4 linked regions of the Saccharomyces cerevisiae S288C genome follow. The gene in region 2 interacts genetically with the main gene of each other region. Each region holds a gene or a part of one and is shown on either strand. Other genes may lie near its edges.

The links.
Region 1: mutations in RCE1 (region 2) and SLY1 together harm fitness more than expected from each alone (negative genetic interaction), as found in Saccharomyces cerevisiae (2 studies listed by BioGRID).
Region 3: of RCE1 (region 2) and ECM9, a mutation in one rescues a mutant of the other (synthetic rescue), as found in Saccharomyces cerevisiae (one study listed by BioGRID).
Region 4: of RCE1 (region 2) and STE14, changing one enhances a phenotype caused by changing the other (phenotypic enhancement), as found in Saccharomyces cerevisiae (one study listed by BioGRID).

What each region holds. Positions count from the first base shown.
Region 1 is NC_001136.10:835,390-842,015, reverse strand, and holds SLY1 (syntaxin-binding protein), read right to left. Parts: upstream 3,625-6,626; coding exon 1,624-3,624; downstream 1-1,623. Other genes in the region: RVB1 (RuvB family ATP-dependent DNA helicase pontin), read left to right, coding at 21-1,412; chaperonin-containing T-complex subunit CCT6, read right to left, coding at 3,955-5,595; SND1 (Snd1p), read left to right, coding at 6,524-6,626. UniProt on the Saccharomyces cerevisiae protein: Able to suppress the functional loss of YPT1. SLY1 is essential for cell viability. May interact indirectly, or directly with YPT1.
Region 2 is NC_001145.3:811,711-816,982, forward strand, and holds RCE1 (CAAX prenyl protease), read right to left. Parts: upstream 3,602-5,272; coding exon 2,654-3,601; downstream 1-2,653. Other genes in the region: ZDS1 (Zds1p), read right to left, coding at 1-2,270; ubiquitin-ubiquitin ligase BUL1, read right to left, coding at 3,941-5,272. UniProt on the Saccharomyces cerevisiae protein: Protease involved in the processing of a variety of prenylated proteins containing the C-terminal CAAX motif, where C is a cysteine modified with an isoprenoid lipid, A is an aliphatic amino acid and X is any C-terminal amino acid.
Region 3 is NC_001143.9:446,299-451,024, forward strand, and holds ECM9 (Ecm9p), read right to left. Parts: upstream 1,739-4,726; coding exon 1,513-1,738; intron 1,409-1,512; coding exon 501-1,408; downstream 1-500. Other genes in the region: oxysterol-binding protein OSH6, read left to right, coding at 1-429; YKR005C (uncharacterized protein), read right to left, coding at 2,223-3,653, 3,723-3,869; mitochondrial 54S ribosomal protein mL50 MRPL13, read right to left, coding at 4,125-4,726. UniProt on the Saccharomyces cerevisiae protein: May be involved in cell wall organization and biogenesis.
Region 4 is NC_001136.10:1,290,630-1,296,181, reverse strand, and holds STE14 (protein-S-isoprenylcysteine carboxyl O-methyltransferase), read left to right. Parts: upstream 1-3,090; coding exon 3,091-3,810; downstream 3,811-5,552. Other genes in the region: ERD1 (Erd1p), read left to right, coding at 1-584; rRNA-processing protein RRP17, read right to left, coding at 782-1,489; DFM1 (Dfm1p), read left to right, coding at 1,788-2,813; SUMO ligase SIZ1, read right to left, coding at 4,062-5,552. UniProt on the Saccharomyces cerevisiae protein: Mediates C-terminal methylation of the isoprenylated C-terminal cysteine in A-factor mating pheromone and Ras proteins.

The sequences.
Region 1 (6,626 bases), on a different chromosome or scaffold from region 2:
GTTAAAATAATTGAGTAAATATGGTCGCTATCAGTGAAGTCAAAGAAAATCCTGGCGTAAACAGCAGTAATTCTGGTGCAGTTACGAGAACTGCGGCACATACACATATTAAAGGTTTAGGTCTGGATGAAAGTGGTGTGGCCAAGAGGGTTGAAGGAGGGTTTGTTGGACAAATAGAAGCTCGTGAAGCGTGCGGTGTAATTGTAGATTTAATCAAGGCTAAAAAAATGTCAGGTAGAGCTATCCTATTAGCTGGTGGTCCTTCTACAGGTAAGACAGCATTGGCTCTCGCCATTTCACAAGAGTTAGGCCCAAAAGTTCCATTCTGTCCTCTTGTTGGTAGCGAATTATATTCCGTGGAGGTCAAAAAAACAGAAACCCTAATGGAAAATTTTAGAAGAGCAATTGGGTTAAGAATCAAAGAAACTAAGGAAGTTTATGAGGGTGAAGTGACAGAACTAACCCCTGAAGACGCAGAGAATCCGTTGGGCGGATATGGTAAAACTATCTCACATGTAATTGTCGGGCTCAAGTCTGCCAAGGGTACCAAGACACTAAGATTAGACCCAACGATATATGAAAGTATTCAAAGAGAAAAGGTTAGTATTGGTGATGTCATTTATATAGAGGCCAACACCGGTGCAGTTAAGCGAGTTGGCAGATCTGATGCATACGCTACTGAATTTGATTTGGAAACTGAGGAATACGTACCATTGCCAAAAGGCGAAGTGCATAAGAAAAAGGAAATTGTACAAGATGTTACCTTGCACGATTTGGATGTTGCAAACGCAAGACCACAAGGTGGTCAAGATGTCATATCAATGATGGGCCAGTTGCTCAAACCTAAGAAGACTGAAATAACCGAGAAATTAAGACAAGAGGTGAATAAAGTTGTTGCTAAATATATTGATCAAGGTGTCGCAGAACTTATTCCAGGTGTTTTGTTCATTGATGAAGTTAATATGCTAGACATTGAAATATTCACGTATTTGAACAAAGCGCTTGAATCTAATATCGCCCCCGTTGTTGTATTGGCTTCTAATAGGGGCATGACTACAGTCCGTGGCACTGAGGATGTGATATCACCACATGGTGTGCCACCTGATTTGATCGATAGATTGTTAATTGTTCGTACATTACCATATGACAAGGACGAGATCCGTACCATTATAGAGAGAAGAGCTACCGTTGAAAGATTGCAAGTAGAAAGTAGCGCATTGGACCTTTTAGCCACGATGGGTACAGAAACTTCGTTACGTTACGCTTTACAATTATTGGCACCATGTGGTATCCTAGCACAAACAAGCAATCGTAAGGAAATTGTTGTTAATGACGTTAATGAAGCCAAATTGCTGTTTTTGGATGCCAAAAGGTCAACAAAGATTTTAGAAACTTCCGCAAATTATTTGTAACAGTGAAGAAAGCCTAAAGCACATTTCATAAATAAAAATAAATATTACGCAAATCACTAAACCAAAAACATTGTATCAAAATGGGACCGTTATTTTTGAGCAAAAATTTCTATTTTTCCTTTTACTTACTACACACGCTTATTTCTTGCAGATATATAGATATATATATATATATATATATTAGTGTATCGTCATTGGGGCTAGATGCCAATTATGCATCGTTGTTGCTGCTATTACTTGCGCCAAGGCGAGAAATCTCATTTAAGAATTCAGCTGGTGTGGTAATGGCTGTGCTACCATACATGACTTTTTTGGGATTATGCAACTGGGAATGTGCCCATTCTTGGAGGTTTTGATATTCTAGGTAGTTACCGCCACCAACTACAAACACTAGTGACTTATTATAAGATTGTCTTTTTGGCTTTCTGGTATGGGAACCCCTTGTAATTTTTGGGTCGATGTATAGGTAACTGTCAGTAGTCTCCAAATTTTTTTGAGAGCTGTTTAAAGGGTCCATTATCGCATCAACAACATTTGTTATCGGGATGGTTTTCTTTTCAGGCAGTAACTTCTTAATACCTGATATTAAACTTCCTACACCTCCTTGTAATTTGCCTTCAGTTAAGCCATAGATACCGGATAATGTTAAGTTGCTTGGTTTGAAAGCGGAATCGGATCCATCTTCCAAAGATTTATTTTGTAACGACATATTTGATAATTGCATGAACTCTCTTAGCTTATAAACATATTTTAAAGCATTGATATCGTAATCGTTTTCCTTGAAATAGTTTTCCACATTTTGGACAAAATCCTTTGGTAAGCCTGTCGTTGATGTCAAGTAAAGAACAATAAACGATCTCAGTTTGTCCTCAAGATTGTTTGTCTTACCATCTTTTAGTATATCCAAAAACCTAGATCTTGTTTTGGTGCTTCCAGGGTCTTGTTCAACTTCAAAGAAAGTATCAAGACTTTTACTTTCCAATTGTGACAACAATGCAGCAAAAATATTCATATGTGTATCAATAGTATTTTTCTTAGCTGTTAACTCTGGCAGTTTCTTTACGACTTCCTGAATTTGAACCGTATCATTATTCGAGTTTGGGTCCAAATCTGATATGTTGGTAACACCAGTTTTCCTAGTAATTTCTGCGGCTTCCTCCTTGTACGTATTCAATGCCGCTTCAACGTTCTCTGCAGCTTCTGGGAATGGCAAATGAGAGTTTTCCATCCAAAAAAAATCGTTTGGCTCTATATCATATTTTTTCGTGGCTAATGGTTTTGCGGTGGTATTGTCAGTTCCGTTTTCCTTACTTTCAAGTGGAATAGTAACGGTGTTTCTTGATAATTTGAAAATATCAAAGACCATGCACTGATAAATCCACGAATGTGAAAACATGGAGGCAAAATCTATGTTTCTATCCAAAATAATCAACACTCCTCTTTCCAGAGAATCATTTCCCTGCAAAGTGGAAGTGGAGGAGGAATTGGTATTGATGACGAAATCACGTAATTTTGTACCCAGTTTCTCAGCGATGATCTCAGCAGGCCCACCCTTAGCTGCTCTTATAATGGGGATAGAATTGATCGTTAAGACAGTGTTGAATAAACCGTCCGCGATGTTGGCGCATAAGCCCGTGATTTCCTCTTCTGTGGTTTTCGGGTCATTCAATGTCAAGTATGCGTTTGAAATTTCTAGTGAGAACAGTTCCGGTTCAGTTACAATGAAGTCCAGGTATTGGTCGTAAACTTGTTTGATTTTATCAGATTTACCCGTGATGGAGACTTGTTGAGCCAAATCTTCCAGGAGGTTTCTGGGCAGAGATGAGGTAAAGTTGATGTAAAATTCAGAATACTTGTCGCTTTTCAAGTCATTGACTATAATGTCAATGTTTTCCTTTGTGGGGGAGACGAAATATATGGCAGGGACATCTGGCAAGGGAGATCTGTCTTGTTTAATCAAGGAATGAACGGTGATACCAGCTTTCAGCAGGTCATTGACTCTGAGAACAGAAGATATGGTAGCAGTGCTCTTGATGTCCAGTATCAACACCTTCCAGATGATCTCCTGCTGGTTAAAAATATCGTCTGTGATGGTGGTGATGTTGTCGTTGTTGTTCAAATCCTTATTTAAAAACAGCATTTTTAATATGGCAGAGATTTGCATATCTCTTAAACTAATGTCCTTGCGGGACGCAATTTCCTCCACAGCCATGATGTTGTGATTTTTGGTCAAAGATACTTAGCAACTGGCAATGACTATTATAAGTTATCATGTCAGGTTATTAAAGGCTGAGTTAGAATGGTGCTTCTTTTTTTTGTTTTTTTTTTGTCGTTTCTGCAATTACTGTGGTCAACGCGAAGAGGGAAACGGTGTTCTTTGGCAAAAATTGGTATGATATTTTATATAATAAATGTATATATACAAAATATGATGATGATGATAGTGACTGGAAAAAATATGTTACATAGAATTTTTGTATCTGACTACTATTACTACTAGTATTCGTGTTCTTGTTATTATTATTATTATTATTATTTTTTATTACTGTGGTGTTTCTTTCAAAGTGGATCTACCTGCCCTTAACAATTCATCGCATAATAACAAGTTGCTGGCAATACCTGTAGCACCGGTAATAGCATTTCTTAGTACGCGGTAGGAATCCCAAATACCCTCGATGGTAGGGTCGCAAGAATCACCTATGTTCAAGTCCACACCAACATATCTCGTTTCGTCAGAATCCTGAGCGTCATCCAACTCGTCCTCCACCATTGCGAGCACGTCCAATGGGTCGAATCCTGAGTTCTTCACCAAAGTCTTTGGAATTACCAGCAATGCTTCTGCGAACGCCTCAATACCTGTCTTTGTTTTACCCTTGGCACCCAACTTGTTCATGTTGGCAGATCTTAGGTATCTCGAAAGGGCGATGTAGAACGCACCAGCGCCTGGAATGATGTTTTTGTCCTTGAGAACGTTTGCCACAGCTCTGAGACCATCTCTCACCGCATCCTTTGTTTGAGCGAGGGCATAATGAGTGGAGCCCTTGATTAAGATGGTGCAAGACTTGGGGTCAGTGTTCTCTGTAACGTATGTGAATTTTTCCTCGCCTATGGTTTCTTGGTAGACCAAGCCAGAAAACCCAAGAATCTGAGGCGACAAGTCTTCCACAGAGTTCTGAGCTTCACCGCCAGTGACCAATTGCAATCTTTCCATGTTACGTCTCTTGGCCCTTCTCAAAGCCAAGATGTTGTGTTTGGCAAACACGTCTAAAGACATGGGGTCAATGCCTTTTTGGTTAATGATAACAAAACCCTTGTCTGGATCCATGCCACAAACTTCGTTTTTCAAGTCGATGATCTTCTTCAACTTGGCATCCACAAACTTCCTCTCACTAGCGGCCAACTTGTCCCTTTGGTCCGCAGAACTGTAAAAGAACCCAGAGTTAACTTCAGTCTTCTCGTATTCCAAAGATACGTTCAAAATCAAAACATACGCGTTCTTCACACGGGTGGGCATGTCAGGATGCCTACCACCGTGGTCCAATACCAAACCCTTAATAAAAGTGGTATCTTTAGGAGACAAGTGCTGCATCTGCATGATCTCAACCATGTGTAAATCCAAATTGTCAGCCTGCGCGTCGTACACGCTTAGCACCGCATCCGTTACAATGGGCGTCAAGACCTCCGTCAAGTCAGCGTCCACCTTGGTTAGCAGCGACGACCGGGCCACTTGCAGAAGGAACTCTCTATCATTGGAAAGGTTCGTCTTACTGATCTTGAATTCGTCCAAAAATTTCATGGACTCCTTCCGCGCAATCTCAAACCCATCAGTGATGATCCGCGGATGCACGCCCTCTTGAATGAAACGGTGCGCTTGTCTAAGCAATTCACCCACAAGACACACAACCGTCGTGGTCCCATCGCCCGTGATTTCATCCTGCGCGGCAGCTGCCCTAGCAATCAGTACCGCTGTAGGCGACTGGATCTGCATCTCGGTCAGCAACACTTTACCGTCCTTGGTCAGCTTGATGTTACCAGCACCATCCACAAGCATCTTTAGCGTGCCCTTAGGGCCCAAGTTGGTCTCTAGGACGGATTGTAAGCCCTCAGCAGATGTGACGTTAACCTTCAAAGCCGCATCCCTTCTCAACGATTCAGCCTTCGGATTCAACAATTGCAATGACATGCTTCTACTCTACTTATATTATAATCTTCTGCTTCTCACTGCTTCCACACCCTTAACCTTTACCTTTTCCACACACTGCACACATACACTGTTATACATAATCCTTTCCGTCTTTCGTTCGTTTCTTACCAGAATAACAACTACTAACACATCACCGAGCGAAAATTTTGCCACCAAAGCAAAACTCCCGTAAACAGTGATCCACGGCCCGTATCCATTCTGCCGCAGAACCCACACCTCTCACTCTATCGAAAAACAGCCTACTCCCAGGGTCCCCAAAATGAAAGCTCACTGCAATGGGAAACGATAATCACAACAAGGGAATGCAATTAAAGAAAGATATACGGTACACGAAAGGGAGAAGCGACGGCGTTAACCTATTTGCAAACGACCGAGTCAGACAGCTCAGGTCCAGTCACGTTAAAGTGGGTTACTTTGAGCTGAGGTGTGCGGTTGCGGGGCGTGGGTGTGCGCGCCGTTGCCATGCTTACCGTTCTCGTTGCGCTCGTTGCTCGTATTGCCTCGTCTGTTCTTGTCTCGTAGCTTTTTTATTATTTGGGTTAATCGCGTTGTTGAACAAGAAAGTATGATAGTTGTTGAACCGGCCCCTCGTCCCGTTCTATCTTTCTACGGGTGTCGTGTCTATTATTTTATTGTTTTCCTACTAAGGTTCTTTGCTATTGTTCTTTTAATTTTTGGTTTGTAGCTGACTACACGTTTCAAACCCAATCTTGGCAGCCCGGATCTTCATCACTCAGCTTTTCCCTACTTTTTTTTTTTTTCGTTTCCTTTTTCTTCTTTTCTTTTTCTATTTAAGAGAGAAGTTGGCGAACTTGAAGTACACATACACGCTCTCCCTCGCATCCCGGAGCTCGCAATCAACCACTATTACTAATCACATCCTAAATTTTGGGAAGCCTACACTACGATGGACACTGTCGGTACGGACGCAGCAGCCGCGAGCATTAATGAGCGTCGCTTTGCCCAGTCCACTTCACCAAAAGTTAGTGTGAAGTCACAGGACTCGCTGT
Region 2 (5,272 bases):
GGAGCTTGTAGTTGAGCTTTTTGCTCATCGGTATTCTCCTTTTGGACGTGTTTGGAGTGTTGTTGGTTGGAAATTTCTGTCGTATTGCTCCTCTTCTTGTTCTTTTTCTTTGCCTCCTCTTCTTCTCTGTCTCTAGAGTTACTTTTGGTACTACTTACACTAACGGCCGGCTGTAGTTGGGGCAAGCTCTCGGAATCGCTTTCCTCTTTCTTTTCTATCTCTATTGCGCCTTCCAATTGTGGTTGTAATGGTATCTGCTGCTGCGGCTGAGAATCTTTAAGGGTTTTTACGCTTATTTTTTGGGAACCATGACGGCTGTGATGGTGACGGTGAGGACGAGGGCGATTGCGCAACACAATGGGTTCAACCGGCTCCCTTCCACTTTTGTTACCAAGCTTTTTGCTTTTCCTCACGCGAACGTGCACGGCATCGTTATTTGGTATTGATGGTGACGATGATGGTGACGACGAGGGTGATGATGATGCATCATGCTTGTGGTGTGGCTTTCTTCTGAATAGGTTCGCAAAAGTTTTCTCGATTTTCTGTCTTGTCTGTGATGTGGCGGTGGAAGTACTTGAATTGTTCATTTCTTCTTTATTTGACACCTCCGTCTTCTCACCGCCATTAAATAGAGAAATATAATGTTTTTTGGAATTGTCGAGCTCCATTCTTTGTGAATCCACGTTTTCTTCATTTTCATCGTCCCCTTGGTTTTCTTCGTTATCGTCTTCTCTGCTCATTTTATTGTTCAACCATGTCCATCCGTTTCTTCGACGATGTCGCTTCGTTTCTTTGTTGTCATCCGTTGCGCTTGGCTTTACCATGTCTGTTGTTCCCTCTCTTAACTCTAAGTCTTGTTCTACTGTGTCATTTCGAACCTTGACGGGTACCTCTTCGGCTTCTTTCTCTATTCCCATTTCTTGTTCCCACTCGCCACTAGACTGTCTGTAATGATTATAAATGTCTTGAAAATCACCAATTGACCCAGGCGAACTCATATTCTCAGAATCCTCATCTTGCTGTCTAAAAGGGGATTTGTGCGGATCTATTTCGACCTTTATTGTATTCTTGGTCAATTTTAGACGTTCTTCGTCGTCGTTTTTCATTTCATCCACACTTTGTTCTACTTCTTTTTCTTGCTCTTGTGACCTGATTCGATAAGTGTTGAATCTACTCCTTCTCAGTGACGATCGTTCAGGCCATGTCATGGTATTATTGATGGGCATATTGGAGGCAAATTCACCATCATCCAAAGTATTCGCTTGTGAAGTTGAAAAACCAATATCTCCTTCATCATAATGCCCTTCCGGTTGTGGTTGATCTTTTTTATCTGAATATGAACCAGCCATACTAAGAGTTCTGGCTAATGTAATGGCATCATTGTCGGTTAGTCCTGCACTATTTGAGATCTTTGTCAGTTCTTCAGTTATATCTCTTAACGACACTGGTCTCTCTTTTATTTTGGAGATTCTTTCTTCGACTTTATTTACTGTTTCAGAGGCACTGTCTCCCTTATTATCGTCATCTTCGTTATCATCAAACTCTGTATATGACCTCCGCAATGTTGAAGGCCTTCGTATTAGTGACGCGTTTCCATGCCTTGACAGCCCCCTGTTCAAGTTGATAGTGTTGTTCTCCTTATTTTCATATGATTGTGATTCTTTATCCTCCCCATTATCCTCAATATCGTTATTTTCATTGCTATTCCCATCATTATCTTCACCATTGTCGCTTAGTTGTATATTTTGTAAAGTATCTTGTACAAGCTCTAGGAAATTATCAGGCTTAACGTTAGGGTGTTGATTGGCGGGAACCCATAATAAGTTTTTCTTTAATACGTTAGCATTTAATTTCCTGGATGGAGAGTGAACACCTTTTTTTATACCTAAGTAGTTACCTTGTTTAGTCTTATTGGAGGATTCTATCCCTGAGTTACCCCTCCCATGCAAGTTCTCTAGCGGAGTTGGATCGCTATATCGTGTGTTATTAACGGTGGTTGTGTCACTTGGCATTGACGCAGAACTGGATGTCGTGCCAGACCATGATCGTCTCCCACTAGATTCCCCACCGAATTTTATATCTAATTCTGGATCAATAAGTAAATCCATTGACCCAATCGACAATCTTTTTAGGTTTTTTACGCTGCGGATTTCATTGTCAAGGGACTGTGCAGCAATCAAAACTTCAGACTTCCGTTTATCCCTTTGACTAGCGATCGCCTTATCGCTTGATGTAGTACGCAGCATGCTCTCGTTATCTCTATTGGACATTATAAAAGACAGCTAAATTCTCCTTTGAATTGAAAATATGTAACCCACAAAACAAACCAAAACTAACTAAGACCTTAAATTCTAGGAGACCAAATAAAAACCTTAAAAAAAGAAAAACGTCGAAACCTATTAGATGCCACCTTCTCTCTACTCTTAGATCTGACAACTTCAATACCACTGACACGAACGACTTGTTATTGAGTCCGTAATACAAAGTATAGGTACTTTATAGTCCTCCAAATTCTTTCACCAAAACACCAAAACTCGATTTTTTCACTCTTCCGTAACAAAAGCCCGGTCGCTCGATAGAATTCCATAATAGTAGTGAAAAAAGGTTATAGTACATAGGAAATTTTAAACGGTATACAAGTACGTAAAAAAGGCTAAAGGGTTATTCTATAACCAGGAGTTCCTACCAGAGTTTGTAAGGTATCCTTCAGGGATATTAATCCAAGGACCAGCAGTGCGAAGTAGCACTTATTCCAGATTGAGACCAATTTGGAAATGCGTCCAGCTTTCTTGTCTACTACTGTGAAATGTAAATTCAATCTTGAAGGACCAGGAAACCCCATGATATTGCAAAGGGCATGCAGGATTATGCAGCACCATAGGTTCCCGCCTGTTCTTACGAATACAAACTTGGTTAACCCTCCAAAAAGTGTTGTGTATAAAATTTGGAAGCATGTTGTCAGCAGAATGGAAACAGTTGTCATGGAGCCTTCCTGTAATTGCTCATAAGCATGGTGTGCGTGCGCAAGTCCAAAAAAAAGCGATGGTTGCCAAAATAACTGTTGATAGCTTAGTTGCGAATGCGGTATTAGGTTTAAGTACGTAGTCAAAAGCATTGACGTGTAAAATATTTCCTCAGTTATTGGTGCAAATATAAAATTCCTGAAACTCCAAATATTCAGGAATTCATGGTAAAAATCTTCAAGTATAGAGCTCTTTGGATTTAATAAATGATATAATACAAAATCTAAAACGGGTCCACAATATAAGGTCAATAACATCGCAACACATTTCGTTAAGTCTTTCACGAACTGGCTGAATTGCCAAGGGTTTGGCAATGCAGCGTAATAACCTGGGATAATACCTAAGCCTAAAAATGCGTCCTTGAAACTTATATGTGAAGTGGTACTAGATAATTGAGATTGTAAAAAAGGCACCAAAAAAAGGTTGGAAATTAGCATAATTGTAAGTTTTTGCATGCGAGATTTAATCGTTCGAGGATTATCTCGTTTAGACCCTTCTGGTTGTGAAGTTGCATATAGCGGTAGCACATAGGATATGGAGATGTATAGGAGCACTAGAAATGTTGAGAATTGTAGCATTGCTGTTCTGGTTCTCTCTATGACAGACAGTCAGTAGTCAAAGCATCAATTTATTTCGTTTTATTTTTCTTGACAAAGAAAATTCTATGTTTTGTTCCTGAAATCTCGATATTTTAGTAACTTAAAATAAAGGTAATAAAATCATCAAAGGTTTTCCATCCAGTGGTCCAAAAAAAAAAAAATACAGAAGCAACAAAAGAGCACCAGAAAATGCATTTTAAAAGAATTTTATTAATAATAGGGAATACAAAGGACGCGATAAATACCTTCATCTATAAGCAAACCATACATATATCTATATCTATAAGAAAAGTAACGAGAATTTTTTCTAATGTTTTTTTATTTTGTCACTTGCCTAACAGAAATAGGGATATCAATCTTCGCTACGCCAAGATGGTTTTCAAATTTAATCATTACTCGAACGCAATAAAACCTACAACATAGGCAGCTTTCAAAACTTGGAATTAAAGTTTCCTTAATGTCCTTATTAAATTCCAAGTTCACATTAATGTCTCGTTTGTACTGTAAAGGAGCAATCCTAACCCATTTATGAACAATCTGGTCTGTAAATTTCAGGGAAGTAGACGAGCTACCGCTAGGTAAAAATAAACTACTCTTGGATGAAGAAGTTACTGGCGTTAATGACGCTGAACTGGGCGACGATGAACTACCGTTACCTGTGTGCGATATTGAATCCTCAGATAATGCGTGCTTTGAGTGTTGTTTTAGGGTACTGACCTGTTTTTTAAAAATGTTGGATAAGTTGTGAACACTAACTTTCAAGTTGCAAATGCTTTCGATATCGTTAAACAGCTGTGAAGTAATAAAATCTGTAAATTTCAGTTCCTTTGGCCTACGGTCTCCCCTATTCATATTATATAACTCATTTAATTCAAGAAAATTCTTGTTGAACTTGGTTTCATATTCACAAATTTTTGAATGGAAATCATCGTACAAAGCTTTGATGCTTGTCAGCTTCTCTTTGTTCATCAACAGTTCAGAATTGAGTTTTATTGGGATAGAATTATCAGATTTAGCAGTTATACATATCAGTTCTGTGGTAATCGATTGAATTTCTGGCGGATCATGAGGTAAGCTATTATCGGATTCTATGCAAGTCAATTGTAAATCAAGTTTTTCCAATGGTTTTTTTACGTCTTCCGGAATCAACTCAGACAATCTCACCCAATTTTCTTGGTCGTGTTTACTCTTAGATTCAAAAACATTGGTCTTTCTCAATAATGAGGGAGCCCAATATGGTAGGCCCTGTTTTGGAATTTTCGCCTTTACTAGTATTAGCCCTGTCCTTTCTTTATTTCCCGTTAAATCATGATTATTCTTTCCCGCATTTGAGGAAGAGGACATTGAGCTGGAACTGCTGTTTAAAAAATGAGAGAAGTTCAGAAATGAGGAGGAATTGGATTTGTTTTTCAGTTTATATTTTAGTTCACTTTCAACAAAGGGACCCCAAGCTCTGGAAGTATCGGTATTATGACCACTATTTCCACTGCGGCCATTGTCCAAATCGTGGCCCAACTTCAAATCGTTATAGTTGACTAAATAGTTATTTCTGTTCTTAATGTGCAGTTGGTCCAATTTCCTCTGCAAAATTTCTTGGGAGTCTGATTCAATAGAATCATCAATGGTACCACTCAAGTCTGCACCGTGAAT
Region 3 (4,726 bases), on a different chromosome or scaffold from region 2:
ACTCATAAAGAGTCACCATTGAGACCAAAAGTTCGGCCATTGAGCGAGCAAGGTGAATATGAATCCAGAAAACTGTGGAAAAAGGTTACAGATGCGTTGGCCGTTCGCAATCATCCTGTTGCGACAGAAGAAAAATTTCAGATTGAAGATCACCAAAGACAGTTAGCCAAAAAACGCATTGAAGATGGCGTAGAATTTCATCCAAAGTTGTTTAGAAGATCAAAGCCTGGCGAAGATCTTGACTATTGTATTTATAAAAATATCCCTGTCGACGAGGACCCTGAGAAGCAAATACGAAGCATATTGCAAATAGCACCTATTTTACCTGGTCAACAATTTACCGACAAATTTTTCATCCCCGCATTTGAGAAAATAAAATCACAAAAGAAGATGATTGAAAACGAAAAGCAGAACCCAGCAAAACAATAGTGTATATGTTGGATATGATATTTGTTGTAAATTATAGATTAGTTTTTTTATATGTTTTTCTTTTTTTTGTTCTAACTATCTGATTGTTCTTTCTTATTTTTATCCAAAAACTTATTTAAGAAAAGCTTTTTATAGCCAAAATGTGCAAAATTCACAGAAGTTAGAAGATCGTTTGAAAATTTCTCAGGTACTATTGGAGTATTATTTATCATTTTGATATGACCACTGTTCTCTTCAAAATTCAGAATTTCATTTCTCCAAGTCAATAAGACAGAGTCCATTTCAATTCTAAGGGTGATATTAAATTTCGTAATTTGCAGAAGACACAGATATGGAGGCCAATCTGCAGCATACGTTCGATCAATCCATTTTACTAATTCCTGAGTAAATGCATCCGCAGGCTGTACTTGAAAATTCAAATCCACTTTATTTATCTTGAACGGAACATTAAAAGAGCTTGTTAGTCTTTGAAAATCACGTATATTATCGGTTTTTTTTTCCTCCTGCTGGCATACCATATATGCTAATGCGCTCCATGAGGAACAATCCTTAACATTTTGAAAGCAAAATCTCTTAGTCAAATTGAAGAGCTCAATTCTTTTATTGTAAGGTAAATTATCGTAGAACCACCTAGCAGTATTCCAACAGTAGTAATTAGAGAAATGTTGGGATCCAGAAGAATGAAATACAAATAAAATATCTGGAAGAACCAGTGTATTAGCATCAAGAGATAAAACGAATAGTTTTCGGTATAATATCCAAAGAGATGACGACTTGTTGATACGATTGTTTGATGAACAAAGAAGCCGTTGAATCAGTCTTACTTCTTTGACCAATAAATCCGGTATTACTAAAACACTGTTGTCCTGGAAGTATCTCTTGAGTAAATCTTCGTGTACATTATATACCGTTTTGTTTTCAGGTGTTGTAAGTAGAAATCCAACAGTCATGTAATAAATATTCTCATTAGAAATGCCGCCTAATTTACATCAATATGTAGAATTGTTAGTAGCCGTAACAATGAATCCAAAATGCGTATTGTAAAATAGCAATAGTTTTTTGTATTTTACCGTTGAGACATACTTTGATCAGAGAAAGTTTTGTTAAAATATGTATGTGCTTCTTGGAAAAGAGATAAAAATGTTGTTTTGAAGATAATTAGTTCTATGGAATGGGCTTTTTCGTCTACGTAGTAAGGGAGAGTAATTGAAGGCTGATTGGCAGTAATGGTTAACCTGAAATCATGATAATCTAAATATGCAGTTATTTTTTCAAAAAATTCTCTGCAAAGGGGAAGAGAAGATTGCATAACTTCAACAATTGTTTTGAGCGTTTCCTTTTAGCATTTTTTTGTTTGGCTTTTGTTTGTTCTTTTGTGTACTTTTCATGTATTTGATCTTCCATGTGCAAAAATAAGTGAAAAAGAGCTGAACTAAATGTAGTATTAAAATCAAGAACAAAACATAAAAAGGAAAGGAGAAAATGGAACAATTGCTTAGTCAAATAATGTGAAGTTATAAAACTGCCGGAAGCCTATAAAAAATATTTTCTTTACTGAGACCGTGATCAGGAGAACGAATGTGTATTAATAGCTGTATATATCTTATAAAGACGAAGCCTATTTACTATCAACGCTATGTAAGTTTGTACTATTATCCTTGTGAAACAAATAATTGGAGGACAGTCAATAGCATCATCTAACATCGTGAAACGAATCAGTGATTGAAAGGAATTAAATGAGCAACGTGCATAAATAATATCGGTAAAGAAAAAAGAGCGCAATGGTTTCATGACTATTCTACACCAAGTTGTTGCGCCATTTTATCTAAGCTGATCCCCTTTTCTGGTATGCTTACAGGAAGAGAATAGAAATACTCTTCGTCAAATTCAACTTCGTCATCTGACCAATCGTTATCATCATCTGAGTCATCGATACTATGATCTCTAAAAGATACCCGCGACCGGTAAGAAAACCCCAACATCATCAATGTAGTAATTGATACTGTGATGGCAGTGAATATGAAAATCCTTTTGTCTAATTGAGATGCCGCCGATATGAATTCACCAGAATCTAGTTCTGGTAAGTGCGGCACTTGCGAAAAGGTTGTAGAGAACAGTGTGGCCTGCTCATTAGCAGCGCCTGGATCAGAAATCTTATCTCTTCTTACTACTGTTGGTGTACCTCCTTCATCTGGTGAAGCGAGCTCACCATTAGCGCTAAAGAGACCAAAATTTATTCCCGCTTTTTTATTCAATCCATCCGGATTAAGTACTGCTACTAACGACTTCGTTGCGATAGCATTTGTTGTCGTAGTAGTCGTGATACTCAAAAACGTCGAAGTTGCGGTACTTGTTACGATTTTAGTTCTTGGAAACCATCTTCTTTTGGCTTTTGTCGACGTGATTAAAGTCGTCCCTGTTTCAGTATCAGTCTTGGTCCTGTAAAACCTGTTCACTGTGGTTATTATTTTAGGACTTTGGTATTCATTCACTAAGTAACGAGTAAAAATTTTCTTTGGCCTCCAAGAACTCCACCTTGTCATATGAATTTCGGTGGCAGTGTGAAATAATGGGGCCTTCGTATTTCGTTCTTTTTTACTGCCACTTTTATCATCGGTATCCTTACTACAGTTTTCAGAACTAACTTTCTTGTTCTCATGGTATTCGATTTTACCTTCCCACTTCTTATCTTTCACACTACAGTCACCGTCGTTTTCTTCTTCATAACCAGTAGCTGGAGACAGAGTTTTACCACTTATCGTTCTTTCGCGCAAATATTGAACTTCATTATTAGCGTCAACCACTTCGAACATGTCAACTGATGATATAGTCTTTTGATTATTGGTTAAAGAGGTTAATAGTGCAGAAATTAATTGGTTTTTTTCGAACTGCAAAGGGTTCCTAAAAAGAGTATTGTTTTGACCAACGAAATAAGACAATTTTCTACTAGAAAATTTGTTGCCTCTAGGTTTCAAAATCTCTCCGTCATCTAAAACTCCATTTGTCAATTGAAATTGTTCAACAACGATCTGCAACTTGTCATACTCATCTTTGGAGGTACAGTAATCGTGAAAGCAGCTATTATTAAGGGAACTCAAGGCACACTGTAAACATTTGCAGTTATCCAAGTCCTCCATTGTTTCATTATTCACAGTAACGCATGACCGACAAAATGCATATTGTTCATCAAAATAACGGGACACGCATTCACTTAAATTTCGTTTCTTCACATGGATCTTGTCAGTAATAAAATCTAGAGAATATTAGTACCTCGGTAAATTTGTTGTACATACGCAACTGGAGAGGAAGGGGGAAATCAGTTGTGAATTGTAACCTGGACATAAGTTAGGATCTGCCACAGTTTTGCTTTGAACCGCTGCGAGAACGCTCCCACCACCACCGGCAAAGAGAACCAGCAGAGCGCTTAGACATTCCAACATTATCAGTATATCTCGTGTGTTCCTGCCTCTTGATGATTTTAGCTAGCTGTAATGTGTAACGAATTATTCCCTTACTGCTTCTTGAGTTAGCCGCCAAAGAGGAAATATAGCCACAAAAAGAACTTACAGAAAAGATAAGGTAAAAAAAAAAAGTGATCTATAATGGGAAAGAAAAATCCAAACTTCTTCAAAGAGTATATATATGTACAGGATATTAAAATGTAATGATAGTAGTAATAATAGTATTAACATAAGCTAAGCGGATCTTGCTGTTTCCAAAGCTTTTCTTGTTGCATCATCCTCTAACTTTTGAATTTCTTTCATAATAGTATCATATTTACTTTTTTGCTCTTTAGAAGTAACATCGTTAACAACATATATGTTTGGTGACGCGTAATTATCAGAAAATGGGTGGATAGCATTTGGCTCAGCTTCTTTATAAGCGAGTTTAGGATCGTTGGCAGATGGCAAAATTTTTTCCTTAATATACCTTTTAAACTGCAAGGGTGTGCTTAAAGTGGTCAGTTCATAATCAGGAATTAGATAGCCAGATTTAGATTGCAAAAATTTGGTGAACTGAAATTTAGCTACCAAATCAGAGAATTGGACGTCCTGGTCTACTTTGCCCAATGTTTTTTCCGTTGCCTGCAATATCATATCATCTAACTGATTATCAGACGTAATCTTATCCCTGGATAACCACTGATTGAATGGCGCAGAGGAGACCGCAAGCTTCAACTCCTTCTGTCTCTTACACCGTCTAGACCCTTCGCCAATAAAATTTTCTGGTATTAGCTCCAATCTGTTTTTGTTATTGGAAGAGGATTGAGAGGAAGCCTCGTTAGTGCCTTCTTCAA
Region 4 (5,552 bases), on a different chromosome or scaffold from region 2:
AACCATTGATAGACTTCACATTGTTTACCTCTCTAATTTTTAGAGAACCCTTCACACATTTTGATCTATCCGTAGCCCTTCTTCCTGTACTGGTAAGACTACTGCAGTGTTTGAGAGAATACCGTTTACTGCACGAAGCAACTTTACTATTCAATGCATTGAAATACAGTTGTAATCTTCCCATTCTTTTTTGCACCTGGAGATCAAGAGTGTATGAGGGATCCATCAACGAAGAAAGACTACACCACGTTCAAAGATGGTTTATGCTAATTAATTCTTCCTATACGTTATTTTGGGATGTAAGGATGGATTGGTCATTGGACTCGTTAACCTCTTTAAGATCCAGATCCAAAAGTGCCGTCACATTAAAGAAAAAAATGTATCATTCGGCGATTCTCGTTGACTTTTTGCTGAGGTTCTGGTGGCTATGGGTATATTTATCGCAGAATCTGAAATTAGTTGCCGCAGATAGCGACTACATTTTTTTCCAAGGCGAAATGCAGTATTTCGAAGTAATTAGAAGAGGCATATGGGTCGTTTTCAAATTGGACGCAGAGTATTATATTAAGTTTGCAAGCAAATAATTTGTTGGGCAAGCCATATAAAATCATGCAAATGCTGTAAATATTTGTTCTATTTTCCCCGTAGAATGGTTTATTCGATATATTACATATAATAAACGAAAAATACATATGCACAGTATATACTTTTCCAAAAAAAAATCAAACACTGTTTGAGCGTCAAGAAACCCCAGGCGGTGCCCGACGATAATGCGACTGCATTATCTCCTACGCTTGTTGTCGTTTGCCTTTCTTTGGTTTATTCTTCGTTCATTTTTGGTCAAATATCTGAACTTTTTTACTCTTGGCTTCTTCTTTTGTTTCTCATCCACGCCCAGAAACTTCGCGTATTTGGTGGCTCTATTTATGCTTTGTTTGAGTACTTTTTCTGCCTTTTCTAATTTGACATTATTTAGCTGGGCTAAATATTCAAAGTTATCATTGGGTTCCAATGTCTCCAATTCAACAGTAGTTGAGTCATCGTATATTTCCGTGATTGCTCCTTTCTTCAAAATAGGCTTTACGCTACTTTCATTATTGTCGTTATCGCCGTCATCTTTATCAGAATCAAACCCGTGCCAGGATTCATCAGATTCTACCTGCAAATCCTCCGTCTTATCATTTTTCGCATCCTCTATCTCAGCTTCCAAGTTTAAACTCTCTTTAAACGTCTTTAACTGTTCTTCCATCACCTCCTTACGTTCCTGCCGAATCTTCTGTCTTTCTTCAATTTTTCTAAGCCTTTCCTGCTCCTTAATAAACTCTTGTGCTTTCTTTTGTCTTTGAAGCTTTCTCTTGTGAAAGCCAGTCAGATAATCCAAACGAGAATCCTTGTCGAACGTCACCTCATCGGTACCGAATTTCTTTGATTGCTTTGTAGCATAGTTTTTGCCTCTTGTAAGGATTTGCCTATTGGTGTGAACAGCCATAGCAAAAATCGAAAACCTTTAATTCACCCCTCTTGATTCGAGCAGCTACCAGGAACTTGAATATTGCAACTCTCTATTTTTTATCTGCTATTATCTGCTGCTTTGCAGAATCGATCCTCATCACATTTGAAAAATTTCAAATGTGAAAAGTCCCTACTTACCCGTTCGCGGCTCATGAAATCGTGTCCTCTTCAATATAAGACAAGAGTATCAAACAAAGGATATAAGGCAAAATACAACAAATTACCAGTGAATTCCGCATTTCCAAGTCAAATCAAAAACTATTTTCGAGGAAATAATGGCAGGCCCAAGGAATGTGCGTACATTACATGGAAATGGAGGCCGTAATAATGATGTGATGGGCCCAAAAGAATTCTGGTTAAATATCCCCCCAATAACAAGAACTTTATTTACTCTAGCGATCGTTATGACGATCGTCGGCCGGTTGAATCTAATCAATCCGTGGTACTTTATTTATGTTTGGAATTTGACGTTCAAGAAGGTTCAGATATGGAGACTTCTTACTTCTTGTGTAATGCTTTCGTCTCGTGCCATGCCTGCGCTAATGGAACTATATAGTATTTATGACAGGTCCTCACAGTTGGAGCGAGGGCATTTTGGTCCCGGTTTGTCCAATAGACGAGGACCGATGGTAACAGTAGACTATGCCTACTACCTGTGCTTTTGTATACTAGCCATCACTACGGCCACTACAATCATTTATGGGTCCTACTACCCTGTTGTGCTCACCTCTGGGTTCATATCATGCATTACATATACTTGGTCGATCGACAATGCCAACGTGCAGATCATGTTTTATGGTTTGATTCCTGTTTGGGGGAAGTACTTCCCCTTAATTCAATTGTTTATCTCTTTCGTTTTTAATGAGGGTGATTTCGTAATCTCATTGATCGGTTTTACTACAGGGTACCTTTATACATGCTTAGATACCCATACACTGGGGCCAATATGGGGGATGATATCCAGAAAAGCTGATCCAACCTACGGAATCTCGCCCAATGGGAAATTCTCAACGCCATGGTGGTTTACTAGTCTATATGCTCGCATAACGGGTGCCCACAATGAAACTGCAACATTCAACAACAACTTTGCCAATGTGCCATCTTCGCAAAGAGAAACGAGAACTTTTAGTGGAAGAGGTCAACGATTGGGTACGGCCCCTGCAACATTGTCTCAAACCAGTGGCACAGATTCAGGCAGAGCTTCTGGAAGTCAATTAAGAAGTGGCCCATCGAATTTGAACCAATTTCAAGGCCGCGGCCAACGAGTAGGACAAACAAACAGCCCCTCCGACTCACAATAACAACTTTTATCTATTTCTATGTACTTTGCCATTCATTATATACATCAAGAGAGTCTGACATAGTATTTTCGTTGGCATAGCAACCGATTGATAATGAAACATCACTCAAGACGAATTGACAAATGGGCCACTATGGTAAAACAATTCTTTACATGATACCACCAGTATATAGAAAGGTTCTCGTGTTGATGAATTATATAAGAAAGTGAAAATCGATTTCAAGATAATTACTCTTTTTACCTCCTCTTTCATTGTGGTCACCGTTTTTGAACACAACATGCACCAAGATTTTCAAGAAGACGAGCATGAGTATCCAGACATCAGACGCAATCCGCTGCATGAGGTGACCATGACTTCCTACATACTGGGGATTCTTTTAGGTATATTTGTTGGTCTTTTTCCACAAATTAGATTCAAGAATTTTAACCTCTTTATTATTGCCCTGTCCTTATTCCATTTTTTGGAGTATTATATTACAGCTAAATACAATCCTCTTAAGGTACATTCAGAGTCCTTTCTTCTGAACAACGGCAAAAGTTACATGGCGGCACATTCCTTTGCTATTCTGGAATGCCTCGTAGAAAGCTTTCTTTTTCCTGATCTGAAAATTTTTAGCTACTCTCTAGCTACCAAGCTTTGTACAGTACTTGGATGTCTTCTAGTTATTCTGGGACAATATACCAGAACTATTGCTATGCATACTGCGGGACATTCCTTTTCTCATATTGTGAAGACCAAGAAGGAGTCCGATCATGTTTTAGTGAAAACTGGCGTTTACTCCTGGTCAAGACATCCAAGTTATCTTGGGTTCTTTTGGTGGGCAATTGGCACTCAGCTACTGCTTCTAAATCCCCTATCATTGGTTATTTTCATTTTTGTACTTTGGAAATTTTTCAGTGATAGAATTCGTGTGGAAGAAAAATATTTGATAGAGTTCTTTAGCGCGGAATACATAGAATACAAGAATAAGGTTGGTGTCGGAATACCTTTTATATAATAGTAATGATTGTGTTAGTTATGGACTGGATTTTTGTGTTATGTAAGATTTTATCTAATCTTGTGCATCTGTATTTGGTAGGTAATAAATGCTAGGGGAATGCAAACAGTGATATTGCCTTTGAGTATTGAAAAGAAGAAAATATTTCTTTTTCGAACGGAAAATTATAGAAAATGAAGGTCATATGCACAATTACAAAGAAAATATTTCATGAAAGAGCTGGACGGAACCGTCCAATTTTAGCCTCGTTTTTAACCACTGTTGTATTTCTTTCCATAATCTTGCGTTTTCCATGTACCCATTATGGGTGAAGTTGAGGATGTATTAGAAAGTTGTCTTTTTTGGGGCAGTACATTAGAGTAAGGCCTCCTTGGAATGAATGGATTTACAATGAGTCTGGACTTCTGCAACGGTATGGTTGCAGTGTTGGGAGGATTGGGGACACTGTTTTCATTGTTTATCAAAGGAAGCCCAGACTTGTTAGAGTTTGTACGAATTGGGACGTTCTGGGGCAACGTGGGAAGTACAGGCGTAGAATTTTGTCGCCCGACGTCATTCCTCGTGATTGCTTCTGTTGTTGGTAGAGAGTTATTCCTTTGATCAAGCCCATTATTCGACAAAATAGTTGCCCCACGCAATGTTGAATCAGGGAATCTTGTGGTATTCAAACGTGGATCATTAAATCTTGAGTTCACGGTGGAAGGAAAGGACATATCCATATTCTGTTCACGTGGTGGAAAAACTGAAGATTCTTGAGGCTGGACAAATGAATCTGATATCGATGCAGTATAACTGTTGGAATTTATGGGAGGCCTTATTGTTTTATCGGGAACAGTGGATCCCCTGGGATCTAATGAACTCATTCTTATTAAGGGAGGGGTACTGAGAGCGCTCGAACTTGCATTTGAAGCGGTGTTTCTTGGCGTTGGGGATGATACGCTAACATCTGGAGAGATTAAGTGGGATGAATTATCAACAGCAGTCACATTTAAAGGCGTTTTTCCCAGAATGTTCGGCAATTGTTTACCAATATAACTGGAACTGTTTCCGAGGTACTCAGGAATAACCCTGTTTGTCACCGGAGTAGTAGTTTCTGAAGCAACTATGTTATAACTTTTTGGATCCAGGGTTCTCGAGGGTGCACTTGAACCTTTTTCAGTTAGAATATCTGTATTAGTACTTTTAAGGTGATTGCTAGTTATTTCCGCCATAAGTCGATCATCATCATCGTCATCATTATCGTTCATTAAATTTTTAGTATGATTATGACTGGGAGTATTACTGCGACTACCATGATCATGTTTATTATTACTATTACTATCATTATTTTCGATACTATTATTATTATCATTATTATTATTATTGTTATTATTATTATTATTATTATTTTTATTATGACTATCATTATTTTTGATACTATTATTATTGTTATCATTACTATGCCTGTTGCTATCATCATGATTATTAGTAACATGAGGATTATTTCCATTTGGTTCGTCATCATCACTATCGAGATTTATGATAATCGGTTCACTTGGATGTGAAGAAGAACAATGATGATCCGATACTGAAGTACCTTTTTCTGGGCTTCTACTACCATCATTGCTGTCACTGTCGCTGTCATCATCGTCTTCCAATATGGCTGTCCACTTACCATCAGAAGTAAGTTCTACCTGTTCAACGTTTTTTTGACAGTTCTGTAAAATGTCATCAACAAATTCGGAAATTGCTAAATTTTCCAA